Linked DNA regions of Arabidopsis thaliana. The protein of the gene in region 1 binds, or shares a complex with, the protein of each later gene. Each region holds a gene or a part of one and is shown in the gene's direction. Other genes may lie near its edges.

What was found. Proteins that work in one complex are often made in the same cells at the same time.
Region 2: TAF11b (region 1) and TAF15b share a complex: the UniProt entries of both Arabidopsis thaliana proteins name them as parts of the TFIID complex.
Region 3: TAF11b (region 1) and HAF01 share a complex: the UniProt entries of both Arabidopsis thaliana proteins name them as parts of the TFIID complex.

The regions. Positions count from the first base shown.
Region 1 is NC_003070.9:6,934,500-6,940,994, reverse strand, and holds TAF11b (TBP-associated factor 11B), read left to right. Parts: upstream 1-3,328; coding exon 3,329-3,420; intron 3,421-3,574; coding exon 3,575-4,097; downstream 4,098-6,495. Other genes in the region: TUB5 (tubulin beta-5 chain), read left to right, coding at 514-910, 1,931-2,200, 2,280-2,962; AT1G19990 (nucleolin), read right to left, coding at 4,330-4,633, 5,021-5,091, 5,182-5,277, 5,384-5,668; AT1G19980 (cytomatrix protein-like protein), read right to left, coding at 6,352-6,480. UniProt on the Arabidopsis thaliana protein: TAFs are components of the transcription factor IID (TFIID) complex that is essential for mediating regulation of RNA polymerase transcription.
Region 2 is NC_003076.8:23,635,145-23,643,014, reverse strand, and holds TAF15b (TBP-associated factor 15B), read left to right. Parts: upstream 1-2,041; 5' UTR 2,042-2,160; coding exon 2,161-2,347; intron 2,348-2,477; coding exon 2,478-2,571; intron 2,572-2,693; coding exon 2,694-3,327; intron 3,328-3,466; coding exon 3,467-3,617; intron 3,618-3,696; coding exon 3,697-3,775; intron 3,776-4,325; coding exon 4,326-4,449; 3' UTR 4,450-4,567; exon of another isoform or gene 4,568-4,719; 3' UTR 4,720-5,600; downstream 5,601-7,870. Other genes in the region: AT5G58480 (O-Glycosyl hydrolases family 17 protein), read left to right, coding at 189-532, 702-1,788. UniProt on the Arabidopsis thaliana protein: TAFs are components of the transcription factor IID (TFIID) complex that is essential for mediating regulation of RNA polymerase transcription.
Region 3 is NC_003070.9:11,851,996-11,858,808, reverse strand, and holds the start of HAF01 (HAC13 protein (HAC13)), read left to right. Parts: upstream 1-2,043; 5' UTR 2,044-2,245; intron 2,246-2,457; 5' UTR 2,458-2,547; coding exon 2,548-2,593; intron 2,594-3,299; coding exon 3,300-3,403; intron 3,404-3,578; coding exon 3,579-3,641; intron 3,642-3,775; coding exon 3,776-3,821; intron 3,822-4,195; coding exon 4,196-4,450; intron 4,451-4,672; coding exon 4,673-4,764; intron 4,765-4,863; coding exon 4,864-5,035; intron 5,036-5,408; coding exon 5,409-6,510; intron 6,511-6,651; coding exon 6,652-6,813. Other genes in the region: AT1G32760 (Glutaredoxin family protein), read right to left, coding at 1-558. UniProt on the Arabidopsis thaliana protein: TAFs are components of the transcription factor IID (TFIID) complex that is essential for mediating regulation of RNA polymerase transcription. Core scaffold of the TFIID complex.

The DNA.
Region 1 (6,495 bases):
GTATAGATTACTTTCTTCTTCCTTATTTTTAACACACAATTTATTATATGAAAACAATTTAACTACATTAATGAAAAAAATACAATTTTTTCAATAATACAATTTTGCATAACGTGCTCCCATATCTCTACTCTACAACTGGGAAAAAATATATTATAAAGCTTGTTTTTGTATAGACATATTCATGTGTATACAACATGTCAACAACATACATTGGCAATATATGCACATGCATGCTCCAAGTTGCTAATTAAACACTGAATCTGAAATCTGAAATTATGCCAATCTAAAAACCTTTCGGCGGTAAATTTTGAGTGAATAAGACAATGTAAAATGACTAAGATAAAAAAGTGTTAGGTGGGGTGAAAAAAAACAGAGAATAAAAACCTCGCAAGCGAGGGAAGTGATGAATAACAGAGACAATTGGTTATATTAGCTGTCACTCCCATCTTTCATATTCCTTCACCATCTCTCTCTCTCTCGATCTTGTGAACCACTACACACACTAACACAATGAGAGAGATCCTTCACATTCAAGGTGGTCAATGCGGTAACCAGATTGGTTCCAAGTTCTGGGAAGTCATCTGCGACGAGCACGGCATCGATTCCACCGGACGTTACAGTGGAGACACTGCAGATCTCCAGCTTGAACGTATCAATGTCTATTACAATGAAGCTTCAGGTGGAAGATACGTTCCTCGTGCTGTTCTTATGGATCTTGAGCCTGGTACTATGGATAGTATCAGATCCGGACCGTTTGGTCAGATCTTCCGTCCTGATAACTTTGTCTTTGGTCAGTCTGGTGCTGGTAATAATTGGGCTAAAGGTCATTACACTGAAGGTGCTGAACTTATTGATGCTGTTCTTGATGTTGTTCGTAAAGAAGCTGAGAACTGCGATTGCCTTCAAGGTACTATATATATCTTTTTCTGAATTTTCCATTATACGCAAATTTTCTATAGTGTTTGATGTCGTGCATCATAATTCGTATATTTACTGGATTTAGTTTGATTCAATAATCATTTCATTCGTAATTTGTCTGACGTCACCGTATCGATAATCGTTTATCACCATAGATCTCTTCTTGTAATATAGTATGATATCTATCTACATAATTAGTAAAATTAGGTCACGGTTTAGTAAGTGTACTATAGTATGTTTTTTTTATTCTTTTTTTTTTTACTTTGATGATCTTGTTTATCTATTATTGGTGTGCATCAGTGCATGTGGGTTCTTATTCAGTAATACGATCAATCAAATCGTCTTATTTAATGTAATTGCAAGACAGCAACGAAATAATTGAAATGCAAGTGCTGTTTTCTGTGGAGTGGGATGTTAGCACTTATTATTGGTAGGGCCAAGCTGTTTTGTATAGTATTGAGATATTTTTTTGTCAAGTTTTTTTCTTCATATTAAAGCTTCAGAGATAAGATATTATATCATTGTGATGTCGTGATCAAAACATTTTCAAGGCACCGTGATTACGGGATAAAAGATGGAGTGGTCCTACTACATCATATAGATTTCTTGGAATTTTGTAGTAAAAAGTTAATAAAAATCTCTTTTGCCTTTAGAGTTTATAGATAATGCTTGTGGAGCCCAAACAACAATCTCACGTGATTCGTTTTTTTAGTTACTTTTGGTCAGGTCTCACGTGATTCGTTTTATACATTGATTATTTAACTTCAATTATAACTATGAGTCTATGACTACTAGTGTGCATTGTTATTATTGGGGAGAAATATTTTTTAACGCATATTGTAGATTCATTGATTATTGTTTTAAAGCATTGTAGATTCACATAAACATTATAGTTGATTTAGTTAGCAAGGACTAGTAACAAGATGTTTGCTTGACTATATATGAACACTTTTTCGTCTCATCGATGGAACCAATACTATGTGAATCATGGGGCTGCATTATTTTACAGGGTTTCAGGTGTGCCATTCGTTGGGAGGAGGCACAGGTTCAGGAATGGGAACACTATTGATATCGAAGATCCGAGAGGAGTATCCAGACAGAATGATGCTCACTTTCTCTGTTTTCCCATCTCCTAAAGTCTCTGACACAGTCGTTGAGCCTTACAATGCAACTCTCTCTGTCCATCAGCTTGTAGAGAACGCTGATGAATGCATGGTCCTCGACAATGAAGCTCTCTACGATATCTGCTTCCGTACCCTCAAACTCAGCACTCCTAGCTGTAAGTACACCCAATTCTTATCCTCCATTAACCCAAAATGTATTTAAAACTAATTCTGATACATTGCATGATGATGTAGTTGGAGACTTGAACCATTTGATCTCCGCAACAATGAGCGGTGTGACTTGCTCCTTAAGGTTCCCCGGACAACTAAACTCTGACCTCAGGAAACTCGCGGTGAACCTAATCCCATTCCCTCGTCTCCATTTCTTCATGGTGGGTTTTGCGCCCCTCACTTCCCGTGGCTCGCAACAATACATCTCACTCACCGTTCCTGAGCTGACTCAACAAATGTGGGACTCCAAAAACATGATGTGTGCAGCTGATCCACGTCACGGACGTTACCTCACAGCCTCTGCTATTTTCAGAGGACAGATGAGCACAAAAGAAGTCGACGAGCAAATCCTAAACATACAGAACAAGAACTCGTCTTACTTCGTTGAGTGGATCCCAAACAACGTGAAATCCAGCGTTTGTGATATCCCACCAAAGGGGCTCAAAATGGCGGCGACGTTTGTGGGTAACTCGACGTCGATTCAAGAAATGTTCAGGAGAGTGAGTGAGCAGTTCACGGCTATGTTTAGGCGTAAAGCGTTTCTGCATTGGTACACAGGAGAAGGAATGGACGAAATGGAGTTTACGGAAGCTGAGAGCAATATGAATGATTTGGTCGCTGAATACCAACAGTACCAAGATGCTACTGCTGATGAGGAAGGTGAGTATGATGTTGAAGAAGAAGAGGAGGGAGATTATGAGACTTGATCCACCAAATCAAACATTTTACTTAAAAGACAAGGAAACGACTCTTGGAAATCTCTCTATTTAAATTTGATTGAAAAACATTGAAAAAATGGGAAATTTGTTTAAATGTGTTTTTTGTTTGAGTAATTTGTTCAAAGAAAGTTTGAAGTTTCCATTTATTTTGGGTGTCTTGTATTTTCCATTTGAGATAATACGTCCTTGCTTCTCAAGCTACTGTGTAGTATATAAATTTTACACTTCTCTCAATTGTCCCACATCGAGTAAATTAGTATAAAGGAAGCTAAACTTTTGCCTCTATAAATAAAGATACTTCATTTCCCACCGACTTTTACATTTGGGCTTCTTAAAAAATAGGCTTGACAATAAATGGCCTTTAACGCAAGGTCTTGTTGTTTTGCTAGTAGCAACGAGCGGGTTACTTGTAACTGCAATTGTCTGAAAGATCAGCCAGTGCCAAGGTACTTGTAATTACAAGTACAAAAAATTGATTTCTTTGAGTTCATGTTCATGTCGGATTTTTTCTAGTGTGGTCGGATGTGCAACAAAAAAATTGGCTGAATTTTGGAGTTTTAAGATCCAAAGATATGTGATTTTCGTTAAGGTTTTATTAAGAATGAAGCATTCGAAGGATCCGTTTGAAGCAGCAATGGAGGAGCAAGAGGAATCACCTGTTGAAACCGAGCAGACTCTTGAAGGAGATGAGAGAGCTGTGAAGAAATGTAAAACGTCCGTTGTTGCTGAAGCGAAGAACAAAGATGAAGTTGAGTTCACCAAAAACATAACTGGTGCTGATCCTGTGACTAGAGCCAACAAGATGCAGAAGATTTTATCACAATTTACAGAGGAACAAATGAGCAGATATGAATCTTTCAGAAGATCTGGTTTTAAGAAATCAGACATGGAGAAGTTGGTACAGAGAATCACAGGGGGTCCGAAGATGGACGACACTATGAACATCGTTGTGCGTGGTATCGCAAAGATGTTTGTTGGCGACCTTGTGGAAACAGCTCGAGTTGTTATGAGGGAAAGGAAGGAATCAGGACCTATTAGACCTTGCCATATCAGAGAGTCATATCGAAGACTAAAGCTCCAAGGAAAAGTGCCTCAAAGATCAGTTCAACGGCTTTTTCGCTAGTCAGAATGACGAGGTTACAAAGTAGTGACATGGACGAAGAGTAACTATCATGCTCTAAACCAAACGTGATTAAGTCTTTGCTTAATAACTAAAGAAGTACACGATAAGATCAGAAACAATTGGCCATCTCTCTCATTACTCTTAAAGAATTCACCTTTCAAGCATTCTACAAATTGACTCCCTAAGAAACGATTACAAATAACACAATGAGATTTCAGTCTTTTAATTCAACCTACTTGGCTCTAGCCTTTTTAGAGACTCTGCTAGCCAAAAAATCATCATCTGAGTCGTCATCATCAGAGTTCTTCTTCCTCTTCTTCGTGGTTGGTTTCGAATCATTTCCCTTCTTTTTGTTTGACAAAGCTTCAGATGGCGACTTTTGTACTTCCTTCTTCTTCACGGTCACTGATTTGGAGTTGCTTCTTGGAGTAGAAGCAGCAGATTTTACTGGAGAACTTAATTTTCCACCCTTTTGCAGTTTCTTCTCAAGAACTTTCTTTGCTTTTTCGGCTGGAAGCAATCCAGACTCCATCAACCTGTGATCAAAACCACAAAAGGGTTTTCAAATAAACAAAGCAATCTAAAAGCAAATATTACACATAACCATCACAGATCATATAATCAATGCTTTGAGTGACTGGTTTGAAAGGACTCCCCTTTCTTACATACAATGTGAGTCCAATTATGATGTTCAAAATTTATGCGAACTAGCTTAAACCGTGTCGCAAAACACAAGAGACCATCGAAAATCAAACGCAAGTATGCATCAAGTCCCAAAAGAATAATTTAAGGTGTAGGACTCAGTTTGCAGATTGAGTGATCAAACACAAATAATCAGATACATACCAAACACAAAACATTAAGTGTAAGTGTTTTAAAGTTGCAGAACAATGTAAGGCAGAGAAAGGAATAGAAGAGCTTACCAAATCTGAGCCATGTCGCTAGTGGGAATTTGTTTGTAAAGTGACTCGTAGAAAATCCTAAGTGGATCTCTCTGCAGAATTGCAAAATCAACAAAAGAAATTCTTCAGACGAATTCAACAACAAATCTAAAAAGCAGAGAAACAGAGCAGCAAAAAAATACCTCATCAGGCTGCTCTCTCTTCTGACCAGGCAAATCATATACTTTTCTTTCTCTCTTTTTCTTTACTTCTTCTTCTTTCTCTGGTTTCTTATTCTCCTATAAACAAAGAGAGAGACTCATAATCAAAACAATGCCTCATCAAATATTTTACCATCCTCAATATTTATACTCAAACAGAGAGAGAAAGAAATAAAAATCGAACCTTTGAGACACCAACAGAAGAATTCCTCTTAGAAACAGGCTTCTTCTCATCGTCTTTATCAATCTCTTCCTTCTTCTTCACTGGCTTAGCTCGAGACCCAGATACAGATGACTTGATAGGTTTGTTATCATCATCATCGTCATCGTTCTCTTCTTTCTTCAATTTCTTCGAACCAGCATTGTTACCGTTCGTGGGTTTCTTCTTCGCAAAGGAACTCAAGCTCTTATTGTCTTCCTCAGCCTCCTCTTTCATCTTCATAGCTTTCACATCCTCCGAAGGTGGCATCTTCTTCTACCAAATCAAAAAAAGTCGAAACCTTTGATGAAATTTTTGTGAGAGATTTGAGAAGAGAAACCGCTGTGTTCCTCCGTCAATTGTGCCCTAATCCAAAAATAAGAGGAGGCTTGGAGACGGCGTCGTTTAAACCCAAAAGCAAAATCATTCCACTGAACCGGACCGAAATTTAGCGGTTTAAAGAAGAAACCGGTTAAATACGAAACGTTTCTGCAATAAGCCATACTTGTTGTATACAGAATCGAAGTTGGATTTGAATTGGTGCGAAGCAGAAAGCTCACTTTCACACTCAGTGATTCGACATACAACACCAATACCAAGAAGCAAATGATCTTATTCAAAATATCAAATCCATACAAGAGGGAATTCTCAGCTATAAACAAAATAAAACCGGAAAAAAAATCTTCTTCAAAGCCGCTTGAAATCTTTGTTGCATTGGCAGATGTTCCGCCATTGCTGTTTTCTTCTTTGGTTAAGCTTCAAGACACAATAATACAGAGGAAATAAACACAGCTGCTAGATGCAATATGAGCTTCCTAAAGAAACTAATGTAAGAGTTATACTAGATGCTAATGGGTGTGGTCACTGGTCAGTTGCATGATATACATCAGGGGCTTGATCCTAAATACAAATAGGTTACATGCAGATTTCAATAACCTAAATTCTCTAATAATTTATATGGCTCCATTAGATGGAGACTTCAACTTGGGAAGCCTAAAAGTCGAAGTGAAGAGCTTTGGGACTTCTGAAACCGAGACCGGTGTCATGTTCTTCGCTCTTTTCCTCTTTGAGCTTTTGCTTACCTGATCAAAAGATTC
Region 2 (7,870 bases), on another chromosome or scaffold:
TTCTATTTCAGAGATGATGATGATTAGGGAATGTGAAGCCCAAGCCCAATTTCTAAACACCGTGTCGTTTTGATAGCTAAATAACAGTGAGATGCTGAGTCGTGAAACGGCACGCAGTGTTTTGTTTTTTTAAACATTGAATTTCTCGGCCCGACATTATCGTGGAAGTACGAGATTCACTGGATTTGATGGCTCGTCGGCTGTTTCTCCTCCTCCTCGCCGTCACGGCAGGGTTGAGCTTGACGGGAACAACCGTCAGAGCAGTTGGCATAAATTGGGGGACAGAAGCGTCGCACCCTCTTCCGCCTTCAAAGGTTGTAGAGCTTCTGAAATCAAACGGCATTGTCAAAGTGAAGCTCTTCGATGCCGACCCAAAAGTTCTCCGAGCTCTCTCTGGTTCTAATATTGGTGTCACTATCGGAATCCAAAATTCGATGCTCAAGAGCTTGAATGCATCCGTAAAGGTAGCAGAGAGCTGGGTACATGACAATGTCACTCGTTACTTCAACGGTGGAAACAGAGTTCGAATCGAGTATCTTCTTTCTCCTTCTCTTCTGCTTATCCAGTTATATATATATAGATTTAAGATTTTTAAGCTGGAATTTAACTTATGGAATGTGAATGAGTCGGATTTGTTTCAATGCCAAATTGCCAATCTTCTTATTGTGAAATTATCATTAAAGAAAAGAATTGATTTTCAGGTATGTAGCAGTTGGAGAAGAGCCATTTCTCCAGAGCTATGGCAATCAGTATAAGCCTTTTGTGATTGGGGCAGCTATGAATATCCAAAATGCTTTAGTTAAGGCGAACTTGGCAAATGAAGTGAAGGTTGTAGTCCCCTCAAGCTTTGATTCCTTTCTTTCTGAATCTGGTCGACCTTCTTCAGGACACTTTAGGGCTGACCTCAACAAGACGATGATTGAACTCCTCTCCTTTCTCACAAAGCACCACTCTCCTTTTTTTGTGACAATCTCTCCTTTCCTAAGCTTTCACCAGAACAAGAACATCTCCCTTGACTTTAGCCTCTTTAAAGAAACAGCAAAGGCTCACAAAGACGGACGTAAAACCTACAGAAACAGCTTTGATCTAAGCTATGACACACTTGTCTCTGCATTGTTCACAATTGGGTTTTCGGAGGTGGATATCGTTGTGTCAAAGATCGGTTGGCCTACAGATGGAGCAGAAAATGCAACATCACTGACTGCTGAGGCGTTCTTTAAAGGACTGATAGTTCACTTGGAGAAAAAGACGGCCTCTCTCCCGCGTCCTCCTGTTGAAACCTACATTGAAAGTCTCTTGGACGAAGATCAGAGAAACTTATCTGCTGGGAACTTTGAGAGGCACTGGGGAGTGTTCACTTTCGACGGTCAAGCCAAATACAATTTCAGTTTCAACCATAAGAATCAGGTAAACGCGCAGAATGTTCAGTACCTTCCTCCTAAGTGGTGTGTGGTGAACAATAACAAGGACTTGTCAAACGCGTCAGCAAGAGCATTAGAAGCGTGTGCTGTTGCGGACTGTACATCGATACTTCCTGGCGGGTCGTGTTCAGGCATCAGATGGCCAGGCAACGTTTCATACGCGTTCAATAGCTTGTACCAGCAAAATGATCACAGTGCAGAAAGCTGCAACTTTGGTGGACTTGGTTTGATCACTACTGTTGATCCTTCTGAGGATAATTGCCGGTTCTCGATTCAACTTGACACTTCTCATTCATCTTCGCAAACTCCAAATTTCTTTCAGAGCTGGCCTCTCCTCTTATTGTTCCTACTGTCCGGACTCTTTTAAAGTTGTAGTTATAGCAAAATTTTGGTGGATTTTGCCTCTAATTTCTCTCTAATAGCCACATTTCAAAACTGTATTGGGCTACGTAAAAAATAACTGTTATTGGGCTGGGCCTTCGTAAAGGTTAGATGATTATGGGCCTTAGAACCATGTTGTCTTATTTGATAAAAAAAGCAAGTCCAGTTATTTTGGGAAACCGGTCGGTAAAAGATAAGATGTAAAAGAATTTAAGATTTAAGATAAATGCAATAATAAAGTTCCACTATTTTTGAGAGAAATATAAATAAAACGCGAGATTTTTTATTCTACGTCTAAAAAGGCTCTCACACGATTCGTTAAGAGTTTTGGTCTGTTGTTTATCGCAAACCCTAGGTCATGGCTGGGATGTACAATCAAGACGGCGGCGGAGGTGCGCCTATTCCGTCGTACGGTGGTGATGGATACGGCGGAGGGGGAGGTTATGGAGGTGGTGATGCTGGATATGGTGGACGCGGTGCCTCTGGCGGAGGTAGTTACGGCGGACGCGGTGGTTACGGTGGAGGCGGTGGTAGAGGAAATCGAGGTTTGTGATTTAGATTGTTGCAGATCTGATTGATATAACCTTATGATTCTTTAGATTTCTCCATTCCTTGCTGAGCTACTTTTGTTAAATCTTTAGTTTCTCACTATTTCGATGATTCGTTTTGATTTAGGCGGTGGAGGTGGTGGATATCAAGGAGGTGATCGCGGTGGAAGAGGAAGTGGCGGCGGAGGCAGAGATGGAGATTGGCGTTGTCCCAACCCCAGGTAATGATTGCAAATTATTTGGGATTCCATTCTTTCTGCATATGTAATGAATTGAATTAGCTGTTGAATTCCTTTGTGGGAGCATGTTTTGAAATTGTTTACCCTCGAAACTGTTTGTATAGTTGTGGGAACGTGAACTTTGCAAGGAGAGTTGAATGTAACAAGTGTGGTGCACTTGCTCCTTCTGGTACTAGTTCTGGTGCTAATGATCGTGGAGGTGGTGGATATAGCCGAGGTGGAGGTGACAGTGATCGTGGGGGTGGTCGTGGTGGTAGAAACGATAGTGGTAGGAGCTATGAGAGTAGTAGATATGATGGTGGAAGTAGGAGTGGTGGTAGCTATGGTAGTGGTAGTCAGAGGGAAAATGGTTCGTATGGTCAGGCTCCTCCTCCTGCTGCAGCTATTCCATCCTACGATGGTTCTGGAAGTTATCCTCCACCCACGGGTTATGGAATGGAAGCTGTTCCCCCGCCTACAAGCTATTCTGGTGGCCCGCCGTCATATGGTGGTCCACGAGGGGGTTATGGCAGTGATGCACCGAGCACTGGTGGTCGTGGTGGTAGGAGTGGCGGCTATGATGGTGGTAGTGCTCCTCGACGGCAGGAAGCTAGTTATGAAGATGCAGCTACTGAAAAAGTCAAGCAGTGCGATGCTGATTGTGATGATAATTGTGATAATGCTAGAATATACATCTCTAATTTACCTCCGGATGTGACAACTGATGAACTCAAGGATCTCTTTGGTGGCATTGGCCAAGTAATAACACTGGTCTTTTACTTCTGTTGTGTTTTATATCTTGGAATAAGCCTTTCCCTTGCTATAAGTTATTAAGTTCTTGTTTGTGTACATGTTTATTGGTGTGCTGATAAAGTGTGTCTGGTTGGATCTATTTTAGGTTGGAAGAATTAAGCAGAAGCGTGGTTACAAAGATCAGTGGCCCTATAATATTAAGATTTACACTGATGAGAAGGGTAACTATAAAGGTGACGCCTGTCTGGCTTATGAAGATCCCAGCGCTGCACACTCTGCAGGCGGCTTTTTCAACAGTATGTACTATGGAATTGCTGTCTAGCTTAAAATTGTTTAAAAGTTCTGTTTCGTGAATGGTGGTGGATTGTTTTGTAGATTACGAAATGAGGGGGAACAAGATTAGTGTAACGATGGCAGAAAAGTCTGCGCCCCGTGCTCCTACCTTTGACCAGAGGTAGCTGTCCTGATCATTTATCAGCATTCTTTTTTGTTACCATTTAGCTGTTACCACCTGCTCCATCTTATAGGTGTTTGTACTCTAGTTGTTTTAGGCTTTTAGCTTTATAATTTTAGTAGGGAATATGAGTTTTTGCAATGCTAAGTTTATGTTCCTTGTCTCTGAAGACTGTTTGGATCTTGTATCCTACTGGGGATTTGCTTTGTACACTCATCTGGGTATGACAGAAAGGGTTGGGAGTTCGTATGTCATCAAATTATGCCTTAGGTCTATGTTCATGCCATAGGAAATAAATCTATGTAGTTATCTTGTAACCTATAGCTGTGGCTGCTCTTGGTTGTGAAGAGATCTGTTGTTTGTTCATGCTTCTTATAAGCTCCTAGTAATTCCCCATATAAGTTGTATCTTTATCTGGTTTTCCATGCTCTATAAGACTCGTCTTTGTTGTGTGTTGAGTCACTTCATCTTACGTAGTAAGCTGGTTTTAATTAGAGATGTCTGTGTCTGATCTAATAATGTTGTCCTTGCAAACTTGTGAATGTCGCAGAGGTGGGGGTAGAGGAGGAGGAGGTGGTGGCTATGGTGGTGGTGGGGGAGACAGAAGAAGAGACAACTACAGTTCAGGGCCAGACAGAAACCACCATGGGGGAAACCGGTCTCGTCCATATTGAGAGAAAGAGAGGAATGAATGAATCAGCTGTTATGTGTTCTAAGAGTTTTGTGTGTGTTAAGGAGGGAATTTTAGTAAAATGTTCTATGAATCCTCATATTGGAGATACAAAAAAAGAGGTAGGTTTTTGTTCACTTTGACCTTGAGCAAAATTACCCCTTTTTTCTCCCTACTTGTTCTGTTTCTTTGGGGATCTATTATTCATGCATCTCCGGTTTATTTTTAGTTTGTTTTTCACGATGTGAAATGTTTGTTTTTTGTTTTATTGAAGGAAGCTGATATTTAACTGCAAAATGCATTGCAAATTGGTGCTATGATGATTTCAGGTGAGTGCATTCATCTTGATTACTTCTTTCAACACCAGAAGTCCCTTTTTTGCTTCTCTTCCTTCTTTTTTTGACTCTGTTCAACACAAACAAAACAGTCGTATGTTTTCATGTTGTATTGTGTAATGCATTCATTTAGGCAACCACACTTCTCTTTACAATTTTCGGAGTTGTTATCGTTTTTTCTCGCAAACTTCTTTTATAGCAACATGTGTTCCTCGAGAATTGGCAGGAGTGGGGGATGGCTAGGCACTTGTGTCTGATCAGTTGATCTGAAGTATGCAGTGACCTTTCAAAGATCAACTTGATGATTTTATTGCCAACTTCACTCACTGGGGCTATGATTAGGATTAGGGTTTTACAAATGAGTGGCCTTTTTTTGGATAAAAGACGTTGTTAATAAATAGTTAATCGTTCAATCTGGATCCCAAGGACTAAAGAGAAGGGTGTCTCGTAAAGTTCTCTATGTGTATATGTCATGACCTTTTGGTCAAGTGCCGGATTGGCCAACTCTTTAATGTGTTACATGTAACGAAAGTTTATGTTGAAATTATAGGAACAAAAAAGACTAATGCCGAAAATCCCAAGAGAAAGTTTATTAATGACTTGTTGTGTAGAAAATATGGACGAGAGAAAGAATCCAGGAAATTTGGAATCCTGTAACATTAGTTTCAAGATTCCCATTCTCAATTCGACAAAGAGAATCCATCTTCTAACATTGCATATTCACAGCTCAATCGCTGGCTGGCTCTAGCACACGGCGATATTACTTATTTACCATCCCTTTCACACACATATTGGATAATATACATATTCTTAATAAAAGTCCACCAGTAGTCTTAAGCATAAATTTACAAAAAAAAAAAAAAAAAAAAAAAGTAAGGCAGTAACAATGTAATTCTAACAAACTGCTTAGATGTGTGAAATCCAGATATTTGTAAGTTGTAACTTGTAAGACCACACTATTTAATACTTAATGTGTTCTTAACCTCAAATTGACAATACCTGCGATTTTTCTCACTTTCGACACAATTTTCTATATGATTTGAACTTCAACAATTCTATATAAAAAAAGGTAAAATATTTACATGCAAATAATAAACTTACCCATTACCATATCTTGTATACAAGAAGCTAAACGAAGGAGGGAATGAAGTAGGAATCACATATAAGCAAGAAGAAGCTATGGAACTCAGGATGGATAGCGCCAACAGATATACATGTACGCATATACAAAACATACAGCACTGGTGAGCCATGGCGCTATCCCTCCTGAGCTTTATAGCTATTTCTCTACTACTCAATCTGAAATTTACATCCATAGGTATGCATCTTCCTTTACATATGTGTTATAATGTATCATGTATGTTATATGTATTGTAATGTTAAGTACGTATATATATATATAGAGGAGCTTGACCTTGGATCATATTGCTGTATTTATAGTCTCAACTCTAAGCTAAGTGTCCCCATATTACATATTTTGGAAGGTGTACCAATTTTTTATGCATATTCGGCACTTTTAATGCATTCCCATACCCACAATAACTTTATTTCTTTCTTTTATTGTTTACTAAGAAATAGGGAGGTGATAGAGGATAGATTTAGTTAATGTATACTGTATATATCTATAGGGCAATTTGTCAACGAATTACGTCTAATTATAAACTGTTGTGCGACTGCGTCAGATAGGATTTTATGAGTTTTGTTCGACGATGCAAACTCAGCACGGCCACAAGCTAGTCACCGGTTAGACAAGTCCTTGAGATTAAAAGGAAACGAAGGAAATATTTAATGAGATCGATAAGTGAGAATGTATGAAAATAAAAAGGATAAAATGAAATAATCCAGTATGTGGAAGAACGCAAAAAGCGGTGATGCATTCAATATTTGGCGTAGGTGGGATCTCCACTTCTCCTTTATTTCCAAATTTATTATTAGTACGTAGTGACTATTTCAGAATCTTGTAATGTTATCATATCAATAAAATCAATATTTATGTCCACAACAACAACAAAATTTCATGACATCCATTTCATCACAAACGGTTTTCTTGTTTTTGCTTTTGTTTCATATATATTGATTTTATTGTTATTTCTATGTATTCTACATTGATTACGGTAAATGAATTGTGAACTACAAATTATAAATGTATAATTAATAGAATACATTATCTCACACTATAAAAAATAAAATAAAATTATCATTGGTTTAAAACTTTAGAGAAGTGTTTTAAAGTGGAAGATGGTGAGTGTAAAATGAAAATAAAAACGACTAAAAAGACATGTATGAAATGTAGTTTAATATGTAAGAATTCTTTTTAAAACTAATCTTCAAGAAATATAGATCTTGTGTAAAATATATAAAGAGATATGCATGGGAGTTTGTGTTAGCCAGCTACCACGGCCGTACCTTGCACGTCCCGGCGGTCCCTTATGTTATTGCTTCTAAATTCATCCATCTTTTTTTTTTCATCAACTAAACAAAAACTCATCCTATATATAATGGAGAGCACTACATTTATTGCAGAAAGGAGTACAGCAAAATTTAAGGAATGAAGTGAGATTATAATTCTCATCCTTGACCTCACATGTGATTCTTAAAAGAAACTGTAAAAAGTAAAAACAGTAGTATGAAAATAAAGCTAAGAATATCGATCGGTGGTAACATTCCTACATTTCTGTTTTAGTTTCTCATTTAAACATCTTACATTCCTTTCAATCAAAGTATAAACATACATATATAGATTATATATATATTTTTAAATCTTATTTGACAACAACTCTAATTTTAGTCAAAGAGTATAAACTTTCTGTTAGAGAAAAAAAAATGGTTCTCATAAGGTGTGTAACAAAACATATCGTACGTTACATTTTTGATGAATTCTTTAACTCTGATGAAAATATGCGTTTTCAAGAAGAAAGCGGCTATGTTTACGGAGTGAAAAATGTAGATCATGAAGATGAAGTACCACAAAACATATACATTTTTCACATAAAAAACTCATAATGAGAAAATAAAAATAAAGAAAATATGAAGAGTAAGCGAAAACTACAACTACAATTGTTCCCAAAATGACGCACGACCACATCTGTT
Region 3 (6,813 bases), 4.9 Mb from region 1:
CGCAGCTCTCACGGCGTTACACGCCTCAAACGTCCGTCGAACACCGCGCAACGACGTCGTATAAATCACAACGCGATTCTCTCCGCCGTCACATAACCTCTCAGATTCCTCCGCTAATTTCGGATCTAACGGTTTCAAAACCTCGTAATCGTTAGGGTTTTTCAAATTAGGATCGGAGTTCTCTTTCTTTAATCCGCCGGAAAATCCATTACATTTCACCGGAATCGGAGAGAATCGACAAGTATCGCCGTCTAAACCTGACATTAGCTCCCAGAAGTTAATAACCTCCGTCGTCGGCTCAGACTTAACCATCATCATCGCCGCCTCCTTACCGTTGATAGTGAATCTCTCAGGCGGAGTCATTGGCGTGATAACGGATTTGGCGGAGGAGGAGGAGGAAGGAGACGGAGGAGAAGGTGAAGAAGAGTCGAGATTGAGAAGACCGTAAGTGGTGGAAGTTAGCTTGACGAAATGTTGGCTTAAGGAGGAGCTGGTGAGGTGAGAGAAGCTGCTGTCATCGGTCGGAGTAAGGAGGTTGGAGGAGACGCAACCACCCATCGCCGGAGATTTCGAGGATTAAGCAACGTCGGAGAAAAAATGAATCACGGAGATTGAGTGAAAGAGAGACGGTGAAGTGAGATTAAAGACAAAATAACATAAAACTGCTAATTAGATAAAACTTGTTTATATAAATACAATTTTTCTAAAGTTGGGAAGTGACAATGCACGTGGCTTTGGTGTTCTTTTTAATCCATATTTTTCGTTGAATAAAGAATTCTTTTTTCTTAACAAAATATTTGAGATATTTGTTTTGTTTGATTTTACGTTAATAAAAAAGAGAAAATACAAGGCTTAATTTTAGAACTAGGATTTAGAATCAGGACCACTATTTGGTTGGAGTATAAGGAACAGAAATTGATTTTGATAATTTCGTTAGAAGGAGATAGAGACATTTAACAAGTCAACAAAGTTCATGATGGTTATGGTAAAAATAAAAATAAATTCCTTGTTTAGGTTAAACTAAATAAAGAAAAAATTGCTTGTTGAGGTACATTTGAAAATGTTGAGGTACAATTGTTGAATGGATAATGAATTTTATAAAATCTAATAAGGTAATATTGAATCAATGATTTGGTATGATTATACCATGTTCTTCTTGTATTGGTCGTTGCGATTAAATTTGATGACTAAAAATTAAAGAACGAAATGAGAAATAAATGGCATAATTTATTATAAAATTCGTTGCTGGTTGTTCAAAACTGACAATGGAAGAAAAGCTGGATTATGTTCATTTAGGCCGCTATATTTTTCACGACTCCTACGTTGTTAGATCAATATCTCTATTTTTTCCAACGACACTTCTATTTTTTCAGCGACATCTCCGATCTGTCTATATGGATCATTTTACTTTATTTTTTTTAACGGCTACTGCCGTTTTACTTCGTCATAGTTACCGACGCAGTGGTCCATAAAATAAAAGAACCTATATATTTTCTTAATATCCATTTTTATTCAATCTGGTTTTATTTAATATTAAATTTTTTTATATAATTAAAATCAACATGTTATTGATTTTTATATATGTACAAGGTATGCAATAAAGAGTTTCACATCCGATGTTATTCGATGAAAAAAATAAAACTATCAATTAAACTTGTGTGCCTTAAATTTGGATATTAGAATGTTAGTCGATCGAAAAAATAAAATTAAAGTGATTAAAATATTATTAAAAATTGAAAATTTAAATGTAGAACTATAACAGTTATGTTTTTATAATACTTTTAAAATTCAATTTTCTTTTGCAATTTTGGTAGAAAGATATTTTAAAGAAATATCATAGGTATATATCTATTAAATTCGTAAAATTACCACTGATTAAACAACAACAAAAATTACTTCAGAACCGACTCTATTTCTGCTTAACCACCTCCATACCAAACAACGAAATTGATTTTTCCTGGTTAAGAAATTAGACCCGGACTCAAACTTTATTCGGGTCGGGTTATAAAACTTTTATAAATGCCCTCACAATCTTGTCTTGGTCGCTTCGCAATTTTCTTCTTTTTTTTGTTATTACTTTTTTTTTTCCTCCGATTTGAGAGTTTGCTTACCTCGGAACTTCTCTCCGACATCGTACCGTCTCGTCCGATTGAGCTGGTTTACCTTTCCGGCGAAGCTTACTTGTACCCTCAATTAGGGTTTCAAGAAAGAACCCTCCAATCCAACAATCTCGTATCAGTGAATGGTATCGTATCGTCTTCTTCAATTTTATCCAATGCTTTGATTGCAACTCAGCTTAACTCGAAAATTGATCAATGGGGTTTCGATTTGGTTGTGATTTTAAAGCCAAATTGAGACTCTTTTGATGAAGTTTCAGATAAAGAAGTTAGCTTTTTTTGTTTCCAGGTCCGTTTAGGTTGGCTTGTAATTGTGTAGTTTTTTTTGTTTCTTTTGAAGGTTTTGATTGAGTTTTAATGGTTGGGGATTTGGGAAGGACAATTGCCTTGTCGTCTCCCGATTGTCACCATTGTAGTTAAATCTTTGAATATGGCTGAATCCAATGGCAAGGGTTCCCACAACGAGACTTCCTCAGGTATATATATGTTGCTTTCTTTATCAAAGTTTGTTGCTTTTCTTTTTTCCGGTCCAGTCCATTGTCGACATGATTTCTGAAACTGGAGATGCCCCTGTCTAGCTTATGATTGTTCTACGGTTTTGAATATTTCGGATTAAGTCTCTTTAAGTAGAAAAGGAACAGCCTTGAGTGATTCTGAGTATTGGTTTGTAGGATCTTAATTGACAAAGAGATTGGAAATATTAGGTTGTGGAATTTTGGATTACTACAGTTTGTGAAACTAGAGATGTCCCTGTCTAGCTAGTGTTTGGTGCATTTAGGCTAGCTCATGACCGATTTACGGTTTTGAATATTTTGGATTTCTTTAAGTAGAAAAGGAGCAGTCTTGAGTGATCCTGGACATGTTCTAGGGTATAGTTAAGATTATTTTTTCTAAATTTCTAGAGGGAATTGAGTTTGTAGGATCTTAGATGACGAAGAGAATGGGAATAGTAGTTTCACTAGATGGAGGCTACTGTAGCCTGATAAGATGATGGAGAGGAATCCAATGATTATGTGACCTTGGATTTAGCAGTTTAACAAGAGTGTTAACATGCAATCTTTGTGATTTCTGAATACTCGTGATGATAATCAGTTATCACATGCATTCCCATTTTACACCAATATTTTACATGTCTGCCAAGATTTGTTTGGTGAACACCAATATTTTACATGTCTGCTGCAGATGACGATGATGAATATGAGGACAACAGCAGGGGTTTTAACCTTGGATTCATCTTTGGAAATGTTGATAACTCTGGGGACTTGGACGCTGATTACCTTGATGAGGTAATCTGTTTTACGCTTTCAGTATGATGACCTTGTTGAACACATTATTTTCATTATCGGTCTCAGTTTTTCTGTCTATTCTCTCTGGACTTAGGATATATGTATTTTATTAACTATGAGTTGCAAATTCTCCACCAAGCATACCTGTGCCAATGCTAACATTTAAACTTTTCAGGACGCCAAAGAACATCTTTCTGCATTGGCAGATAAGCTGGGTTCATCTCTACCAGATATAAATGTAACGTTCTACACACTCTTTAATATTTTATCTTCTAAAGTTTATAGACGAGTGAACTGCGAGTCTTTTATGTGGTTTTTAATCCTCTTTTTCTTGTACTGGGATGCCAATAATGGTGTTTCTAAACTCAACAGTTATTGGCAAAATCAGAACGTACAGCAAGTGATCCAGCTGAGCAAGGTGATGTTGTCTGCCAGGGTCGTCTATCTTATGCAGTTTTTATTGTTCATTTAACTTCTAGTTTTCATTCTACCGTTTCTTTAAACCATACTGGAGTAGCTTCTAGGAAACCTGCTAGAAAGTTTTTCTCCCAGTGAATGTTTCCATCACAATGGTCTTGCACTCTTCTTACTTTCGTTGTAGTCATAATCCAATTATTATTGGATTGTTTAAGAAAGTGTCTTGCGTAATTTATATGCATAAACATTTTAACTACTCACGTTTACAATCTTTAAATATGCAACATTCCTGCCCGTAGCATTTACATACTGACACTATTTACACTACCAAATCCTGGTCATCAGCGTCATTGACTGTGGTGATATGTTGTGTAGATTATGATAGAAAAGCTGAGGATGCTGTTGATTATGAGGATATTGATGAAGAGTACGATGGGCCCGAAGTTCAAGTAGTCAGTGAGGAAGATCATCTACTGCCAAAAAAGGAGTATTTTTCGACTGCAGTTGCTTTGGGTAGTTTAAAGTCCAGAGCTTCTGTGTTTGATGATGAAGATTATGACGAGGAAGAAGAACAAGAGGAGGAGCAAGCGCCAGTTGAAAAATCTCTTGAAACTGAAAAGAGGGAACCAGGTTTGCATTTCGAAATTTCCGTTTCTTGAACAAAACAATTATCCCATAGTAAAGTGTACTTTTGTTGTGTTATCTCATCACTCAAATTGGTTTTGTTAAGTCATTCTTCCTGTAATTATACTTGTTGAGCTCAGGCAAATGATTACTTGCAAAGCTGTAGTCTAGTGTGATTTAAGTCCTTGAGAATATAAACTTAACAAGACAAAAAAAATTGCGTTGCAGTTGTCTTAAAGGAAGACAAGGCCTTGGAGTATGAAGAGGAGGCTAGCATCTTGGATAAAGAGGATCATATGGACACCGAAGATGTCCAGGAGGTCAGTTTCCCCTCAAAATAAAGGGAAATTGTGTCTCAAATAACATATTTTTGCTGTGGGATGATTTTGTTATGTTAGTGATCTCATCAAAACATTCAGGAGGAGGTGGATGAGTTATTGGAAGGTACATTGGATGACAAAGGCGCCACCCCACTGCCTACGTTGTATGTGGAAGATGGTATGGTTATCTTACAGTTCTCCGAGATATTTGCTATCCATGAGCCTCCACAGAAACGGGATAGGAGAGAAAATAGATATGTCACTTGTAGAGGTATGTGATCTGGAATGTTCTTCCTCTTTTTGTTTCTTCTCGAACCCTATTGAGTTTTTTTGGTGCTGTCCATCAAAAAACGTTTCTCCATTTTTTATTTCCCTTTCAATTCTAAAGGGCTAAGTGTTGAAACAAAAAGACCTTTTCCTTTTATGCGGCTCAGTCTCTTTTTGGCAAGAATGTGCTAGATCTGTGTATTCGATGCCACAAATATGAAGTGATTCATTCTATTTAATTTTCCAGGCAAATTCCATGTTTTGTCCAATTTTCTCCTTTTCTTATCGTTTCTGTTGTCTCAGCATTCCTTTTTTTTTTTTTTTTGTAATTCACTTCTTCATGTGGAACTCTTACATCATAGACTTCTTTCGTACAGACAAATACAAATCTATGGATATATCTGAGCTTGTTGAAGACGATGAGGAGGTACTCCTGAAGAGCCATGGTAGGATTGATACTCATGTAGAACAAGCTGATCTGATTCAGCTGGATGTTCCCTTTCCAATTAGAGAGGGTTTACAGCTGGTAAAAGCTAGCACAATAGGTGGTATCACACCAGAATCAAGAGAATTTACGAAGCTAGGAAGAGATTCATGTATTATGGGTGAACTGTTGAAGCAAGACTTCATAGATGATAATTCATCTCTGTGCCAATCTCAATTATCGATGCAAGTTTTTCCTCTTGACCAGCATGAATGGGAACGTCGGATTATTTGGGAACATTCTCCTGAAATTAGTGGTAATTCTGGTGAGATCTTCGAACCTGGACTTGAGCCGGAAGGTATGCTGGTTAAAGGAACAAATTCAGAGACTGAACAAGAAAGCTTGAATGTGGTGAACTCTAGAGTGCAAGTTCAAGCGGACAATAATATGTTTGTGCCTTTTTCTGCCAATCTGTTGGAGTCTTTTGGCTCAAGAGGTTCCCAGTCAACAAACGAGTCCACTAACAAAAGTAGACATCATCCACAACTGCTAAGATTAGAATCCCAGTGGGATGAGAATCATCTTAGTGGAAATGATGAAGCTGGAGTAAAGAAGATTAAGCGACTTGAAAAAGACGCCCTTGGGCGCTTTAGCAGACTTGTATTGCGAGAGAGGGATTTGGGGGATGAGGCATGGTTAGATAGTATAATATGGGACTCAGAGAAAGAGTTGAGCAGATCTAAACTAATTTTTGATCTTCAAGATGAGCAAATGGTCTTTGAAATTTTCGATAACGAGGAAAGCAAAAATCTTCAACTTCATGCTGGAGCTATGATTGTATCCCGGTCTTCAAAATCCAAGGATGAAACCTTTCAAGAAGGCTGTGAATCAAATTCTGGGTGGCAATTTAATCTTTCCAATGACAAGTTTTATATGAATGGGAAAAGCTCTCAGCAACTGCAGGCAAATACTAATAAATCCAGTGTTCATAGTTTGAGAGTTTTTCATTCAGTACCAGCGATTAAACTGCAGACGATGAAGAGTAAATTGAGCAAGTAAGTGGTCACTCGCATATCGTTTTTATTTCCACTCTTTTGTGTCCTCTAAAATGTTTCCACACTTCAAATGCAATTATGTGCTTTTCTACATCCATTTTAGTAGTTTCTATTAAAATGTGTTGAGTTAACTCGTTGCAGTAAAGACATAGCAAATTTTCACCGGCCCAAAGCTTTATGGTATCCACATGACAATGAGCTAGCCATTAAACAGCAAGGAAAGTTACCGACCCGAGGATCCATGAAAATTATAGTTAAGAGCCTGGGGGGTAAAGGAAGCAAGCTACACGTTGGCATAGAGGA